Canis lupus familiaris: one gene and its partner. The protein of the gene in region 2 binds, or shares a complex with, the protein of the main gene of each other region. Links are inferred from orthologs where the notes say so. Each region holds a gene or a part of one and is shown on either strand. Other genes may lie near its edges.

Region 1 (3,341 bases), on a different chromosome or scaffold from region 2:
GGGGGCGGCCCCCAGGGGGAGGACATGGGGGGGCCGGGCCACCGTCCTCATCTCGCGTGGGCGGGCTCCGAGGGGGGTCCCTTAAGCCCCGGGGGGAGGGGGCGGGCACCCCGGCTCCGCCCCGCGAACGGGGTGCTGCCTCCTGGCGGCTGAGCGCAACCCTAGCGGGCCAGCGGGCGGCGTGTGCTCCGAGGGCTGCGCGGGGTCACGGAGAGAAGGACCTGGCGGGCGGGCCCCATCAGAGGTTGGGGACACCGGGCACGGGGGATCCGAGAGTGGGAAGGCTGGGAAGAGGGTCCGCCGGAAGACGGGGTCCCAGGGGGAGAGGGGCACAGAGGAGAGACCCCCCCCCCAAGGAGACAGGGTCCTAAGTGGGGGAACCCAGAGTGGGGAGGGGGACAGAGACTGAGGTAGAGGGTAGGGGAAGTGGGTGTGTCAGAGGTGGGGGCCTGAAGGAGGGTGTCAGTGGGAGGACAGGGCACAAGGCACCTGGCCGGTGACGGAAGTCAGGAGGGCACCCACACCTGTAAGAACCGCTCTCCTTTATTGAGCATTTGCAGGGCAAACCAGCCTCTTCTCACCTGACCCCCGCCACCCCGCACACTCACTGTCCCCATTTTACAGACAAGGAAACTGGATCTGAGGGGGTGGCCACCGGGCTGGAGGTGCTAGTGGGGACAGAAGCCACTGCCGGACTGGCTGGGGTCAGACCCGACAGTGTCCAGAGCCCCCGGCCCCCTCCCGGGCAGGCAGGGTCAGCACTCCACCCCGTAGCGGTCGAAGTGGCGCAGCAGCAGCCCCAGCTCCAGGTGGACCAGGCCTCCGGCCGCCGTGTGCAGCCGGTAGCGGTCGGCGCCGCTGTAGATGGCATCCCCGTGCAGCAGCTGAGGGCCGCCACCCACGAAGGCCCGAGCCAGCTGCTCCCGCCAGCTGCCCAGGGGCCGCCACGTGGGGCAGTCCAGCCGGTGGGTGCCCGGGCTGCTGGGCACGTGGCAAAAGCCGTAGCCCGCCAGCTGGCAGCGGCCAAAGCTGTCCTGCGACCACACCTGGAGATGGAGCCGGGGCCAGCCTGCAGGGTGGGAGGGAAGGAGGAAGGACGGGAGCGATGGAGGCCCCCGGCCCCCTCCCCACTGGGTTTCTGCCCCAGCCTTCTCTCTGGACTCCCATCCATGAGGCAGCCAAAGGGATCTTTCTGAATCTCTGTTCTTCCACTGCTGAAAACCCTTCCATGGCTCCCCAGTGCCCTCATAGAAAGTCCAACCTCTGGACCAGCTGACCTCCCTTCTGTGGCCTCTTCTTCAGTGTCCCCCTATCAGGGCAGCGCAGTCCCCAGGTGAGCACTTTGGGCCTAGTCCCAGACACCTCCCCTCCTCCCTCACCATGGCCCACCCTGTGCTCTCTGAGCCCAGGGCCTCCCTTCTTGGCTCTCCAATGCACCTTCCACCTGGCAGCTGGAAGCATCTTTCTCCCACTTCCATAGGTTTCTCGGTGTCCTTAGAACACCATTCAGGTCCTCAACCTGGTAGGCTGGAGATCTGGCCCCATTTCACCCTCCTTCCTGTGCCCCTCTGCTCTAGGCCCTATTCTAGAAGCTGGGGACACAGTGGTGAACAGAGCAGACAAAAATTCCTGACATCCTAGACAACGAATGTAGTAAATAAGCAAATTATAGGGTATGTCAGATGGTGATCACCGCTCTGGAGAAAAATAAAGCTGGGTATGGTGGGGGTGGGGATGCAGTTTTAGAAAGTGGGTGAGCAAGGGAAGCTTCACGGAGAAGGTGACATTTGAGCAAATGCTTAAAGGAGGAGAGGGAGTGGGCCATGTGGATGGACATCCAGGGAAGAACGCCCCTGAGAGGGAAGAGCTGGTGCAAAGGCCCTGAGATGGGAGCTGCCTGGTGGGGCCAGCTGGCTGGAGCCAACTGAGAGGGAGAGGGAGAGAGAGGAGGTGACAGACCAGATTGTGCAGGGCCTTATGATCGACAAAAAGGCTTTGGCTTTTACCCTAAGAGGGGTACCGTGGAGAGTTCTGCATAAAGAAGGAATGTGCCCCAACTTGGGTGTTCACAGGGGACAGACTCTGGGGGCAGGGTGGGAGCATGGGTGAGAGGTGAGGGTAGGCAGACCAGGGTGCCCGGGGAGAGATGTGGGGGGATTTAGGATACATTTCAAAGGTAGAGCCAAAGGGATTTTCTGATGGGCAGAACGAGGAGGGGGGGCTGTTGAGGAAAGAGGAGGCAAGGATGAATGATGCCCACGCTGGAAGACGTGAGGTCTGCAGAGCTGAAGGGCAGCTGCCTGCCTCACAGTCCCAGCTCCTCCTGGCCCTTCTCAGCAAAGCTGATCAAACCTCCCCTCCTCCAGGAAGCTCTCCCGGAACTCCCTGGCAGTCAGGCATCTCCTCTGGACTCCCCTACCCTCTAGGATCCTCCCATCCTCGATGGGCCCACTCTGGGCCACCCCTGTCTGGGGACAGCTCTGTCTCCCCCAAGGGAATGGTGATTCGCGCGAGGACAGGGCTGTGGGATGAAGGGGGCGGCTGTCTCAATCACCAACATTTCCCTGGCATCACCCAACACAGGCTGGGCACCAGGCAGACACTCGGTAAATATTATTTATATTGTTAAAATACATGGCATGTTTACCTAGGCTATTTCCTAGAATCCACTCCTCTCCAGTGATCTAAATTTTCCACGAGGAAAGGTTTTCTGATACCCTTCCTCCCCCGCATACTGTTTCCCCCTGTGAGCAGCTGAGCTGGGCTGCAGGGCTGCAGAACAGCTCGGCTAGCAGCCCTGCCTCTCTCCCTCACAACCCCTCCCCGCTTCCTCCTGATTGAAGATTCTTGTTTGTCTCTTTGAAAGCCACCTCCCTTCTCTCCCTGGTCCCCACCTCCCCCTCATCCCCCTGGCCCCCAGAGCCCTGGCCTCTGGCCTATAGTCCTATACCCTCTAGCGCCAGTCTGCAGGCCCCAGCTCAGCCTCTCCCAGGCCAGGCCTGGCCAGGAAAGGGTCCCAAGGGCCTAGGGAACAGGGCTGGGACTTGGTTCCCAGTCCCAGCGGCTTTGGGCACCACTAGTCATCCCCCCACCCCCTCAGCCTGGCCCAGGGCTTGTGCTGGGGACCCACCTTGGAGACCTTTGGTGGCGAAGTGCAGGTCGATTGGGTGGGACCAGTAGGCCATGTCCCCTACTTGGGGGGTGTCCACCTGTGTCTGGCCCTCCCGCACGCCAGACAGGAGCTTCCACGCTGCCCCTGCAGGGAGGGGTGGGAAGCAGACATCAAGAAGGGGAAGCTACTGCAGCTGGAGGACCCTGTTTCTCCCTGGCAGTGGGGGAGG
Region 2 (3,594 bases):
GAGGTTAAAACAGATGAATATACAGTTGGCCGCCAAGATCCAACACCTTGAATTCAGCTGCTCTGAGAAGGTAAGAAGACATTTTTGGGAAAATGCCATCTGTTTGCCTTCAGCACAGAGCTTCACTCCGCCAGGCCTTTGCTCAGATATCACCCTTCGCTCAGTCTTCCTTGTCCTTTCAGATTCAGATTAGGCATCACCTCCTTCCCCAGAGCTATGCCAGGTGTCCCTCCTCTGGACATCCTGTCACTGCAGTCACCCACTGGGCCCCAGCTGACCGTAGCAGGCTCCACTGGCAGACTCCACCAGGAATGTAGCCTCCATTCAGCTTTGCATCCTTGGGGCCCATCAAATAATTGCCACATCCCTGGCAAGGTTCAGAAGGTAAAACTGAGTTATCTGTCTGCCTTTGTTAATAACAGGAACAAGAAATTGAAAGACTGAACAAGCTATTGAGACAGCATGGACTTCTTGGTGAAGTCAACTAGACATGTACCTGCTTCGTCCCAAAGACAAGACTGCCTCACAGGCTTGCACCTCTGATAAGAAAGACAGCTGCCCCTCCTGGGGACCGTCTGGGAGAGAGATCTGGTTTGATGCCTTTGCCTCACCCCCGACCCAGCTCAGATTCTGGGGGGTTGGGGTGGGGGGAGTCTAAGGGAAGGCTCACTCTTTCTTGGTGTGATCAAGAGCTTCCCGTCCCATTCTCACCCCATATCACAATGTATTACAAACTATATTTTCTCATTTTGAACACCTGACTCTTGCTTGAAAATGAACAACGAAGCTGGACAACTTTTAGTTGTATATAAAATTTAATCTCATCAAATGTACTTTCCCATTTCCCATGTATGAGGAACCAGTGCATCTTTTCATGTGAGCATTCTGAAAGACAAAAGAAAAAAGGAAGCTACCTTGGCTACCAGCCCATTCTAGAAAAGTCTTATCTTTTCAAACTGTTTTAACATTCCCCCAGGAGGTTGTTCACAGGTACCCAGCCCCCTCTCTGCAGCAACCAGCTTTCTAACTGGCTCTACCCTGTTCTGCCACCTGACAACATTTTCTCAATTACTGTACAATTAACGTATAAAAGAAACTTTTTCCCTCGAGCCCTCCTACTCTATTCTTTCCAGCATCAAAGGCTTGGAACTGCTCTGTGGCATCCCATACAGCCCATCAGATGGAGAGCTCCAGTGCCTGCCACAGAAACAGCAATTAGACCCAAGACTCCATGTAATGAAGACGACACTGGGGGGAGATCCTTTCACGAGACCGTGTACTCTACTCACATGAGTTTATATGCAGTATTTTGCTATTTTTGTATTTATCTCCACGGGACATGAACTACAACAAGTAGTTTAAAAATAACTCATGTTGAGGCGGATAAACTGGATAAAGCCTCAACACCTATGCTACTTCAGGGTCTGTCCTCTTCCCCATCCTCCCAAAGGCTCAATTTGGTTTCCGCACATGACCTATGTGCTAACAGTACTGGAAATCACCAAGACCAGGTGGCGCCACATTCTAAGGTCAACCAAGTAGAATAAAATTTCCAAAAGGAGGAGAGTGAATGGAGAGGGGAAGTGTGTGGTCTGAGGGCAACCCTGCAGATCTGTGGTAGAATCTCAGGATGGCTCCAAGGGAGCCGAGGCCCCTCGATTCTGGAGGTGCGGTGCTGTCTCCTTGATTAACAACTTACGTCAAACAAACGGAAAGAAGAAATTAAACGGCAGCCTGGCATTGATGGTTGGCCGAGCTCTGAAGCCTGCCTTCGCAGGTGCAGACGCATCCACAAAAGTAACCGCAGTGGAAATAAGAACCGTCCTCTCATTTCCTGAGTCGGTCTGTAATAAAGAGAGTGTTGTGAGTCCTGCTTCCAGTGTGTGCTCATGTGCACAGGGTCACAAGGTGGCATACCCTGTGCTCCCTTCCCTCCTGGGGCCACGGTCAGCCCATCTCCTAGGCGCATGCAGGGCTCCTCATACGCTCACTTGGATGAGAGGGTTTTTACCCAGGCTGTCCTACCCACCAATGTCAACCACAACTCCATTTTCAAAGAATTTTAAAGATCAGCTCCAAACAAAAATGCTACTGTGAATTCAACTGTTGTCAGTGGAATTTTTTTTTCCCTAAGAAAGTGCCAGATTATTTTAAGAATTCAGATTGTTTAAATTTCAGTAATCTAAAAAAATAAAAAATAAAAAAAAATAAATTTCAGTAATCTTTTTCACAAAATAAATTTCACTATCACGCTTGAGTTTTGTCTGGACTTCTGTCTTAACCCACACCTCGAAACCCCAGTTAGACCTACCTCAGGAAAGGGGGATGAAATGAGACTTGCAGTTACGTTTACAATTTTAGCCTGTGGGTTCAGTAAGGACCCGTATTTGGTCCACTTCACTTCTATAAACAAAGCCACTGGGAGCTGGCAAGAATCCTGCAAAACAGAATGTCATTAATCAATTTGAACATTACACAATTTCATGTCAAACTTAATCTGCACTTCAGAGCTTTAATTATAAAGTGTTTCACATATTACAAAATGTTCTGAACAAGAGAGTGAAGAGACTCTAGAAGTTCAGATAAAAACAGCTGAGAGCACATATTTTAAAGTACTCAATATTCCCAAAAATATTTTAACACTTAAAGCATTTTTCCATCCTCTCCTGTTTCTAGAAAGGTCAAGATTACTTGGAAGTTGTGGAGATCCCAACAACAAACCGCAGAACCTTGGGCCTTAACTGCCCAGCTTCATCCAACTCAGAGATTCTTGAGGGGAGAAGCTGGCATTGAGTGGGGAGGAGAGGATGGTGGTAGTCATAGAAATTAAACCTAATTGTGTATCACGTTAAGATGCACCTAGAGGAAATGTAAATATTTTCTTTTCATTTAATTTCATCAGTTGGCAATTAAGATGTTACACAGGGGTATCAGCCGAGGGTAAATTGTCAAAGATGCTAACTCTCCATGGGTGCTGCCTGCCTGCAGGCTGGAGACCTGGGAGCCAGCCTGAGGTCTCTGCCCCATGGAAGAGCAGGCGAGTGGGCCTTCTAACCCTTTCCCTGCCTTTACATCATGTTTGTTGGCAAATGTGACAACCACTGAAGCTGCATGATGGGTAGAAGGGATTCCATTGTAATCCTTTACTTTTGTGTTATGTTTGAAATTTTCTGACAATAACAAGTTTGTTTGTTTGTTTGTTTAATATGCTTCTTCGGGGCATGAAAAGCTAGCAAGCCTGCTAAATTTGGTGCCTGCCAAAAAGGCACTGGTGGAACTCCTTAGCTGGGAACTGCCTTTTAGGAAGTTTGCAGGCTGAAAAAGCCTTGTGAGTATCTGTTATTAGAAGAGGCAACACGCAGTGGTAGAAGCGAGCCTAGCACGTGCACTTGTGTCTGCTGCCACCTGAGTTTCCTGCAAGGTAGGTACCAAACCCTCTCTGGGCCCTCTGAGCTCCCTGCAGCAGCACAGACCCTGAAAATGCTAATGTCTGCACTGCCTCCCAGGCGGTTTTCCCTTCTTAGGGGCTAGTAACAATGTCTTAACCTGTTTCTGAGAAGCCAGAAACGATGTGGCTGGTTCCGAGGGGGCAGA

Evidence for each region. The genes of interacting proteins can lie anywhere in the genome.
Region 1: TCTN1 (region 2) and B9D2 share a complex: the UniProt entries of both Homo sapiens proteins name them as parts of the tectonic-like complex. The link is inferred for Canis lupus familiaris from reciprocal best matches to the Homo sapiens genes TCTN1 and B9D2.

The regions. Positions count from the first base shown.
Region 1 is NC_049222.1:113,410,094-113,413,434, reverse strand, and holds the end of B9D2 (B9 domain-containing protein 2), read right to left. Parts: intron 3,257-3,341; coding exon 3,131-3,256; intron 1,070-3,130; coding exon 756-1,069; 3' UTR 526-755; downstream 1-525. UniProt on the Homo sapiens protein: Component of the tectonic-like complex, a complex localized at the transition zone of primary cilia and acting as a barrier that prevents diffusion of transmembrane proteins between the cilia and plasma membranes.
Region 2 is NC_049247.1:8,665,615-8,669,208, reverse strand, and holds part of TCTN1 (tectonic-1), read right to left. Parts: intron 2,438-3,594; coding exon 2,312-2,437; intron 1,845-2,311; coding exon 1,701-1,844; 3' UTR 1,700-1,700; intron 886-1,699; exon of another isoform or gene 489-885; coding exon of another isoform or gene 423-488; intron 71-422; coding exon of another isoform or gene 1-70. UniProt on the Homo sapiens protein: Component of the tectonic-like complex, a complex localized at the transition zone of primary cilia and acting as a barrier that prevents diffusion of transmembrane proteins between the cilia and plasma membranes.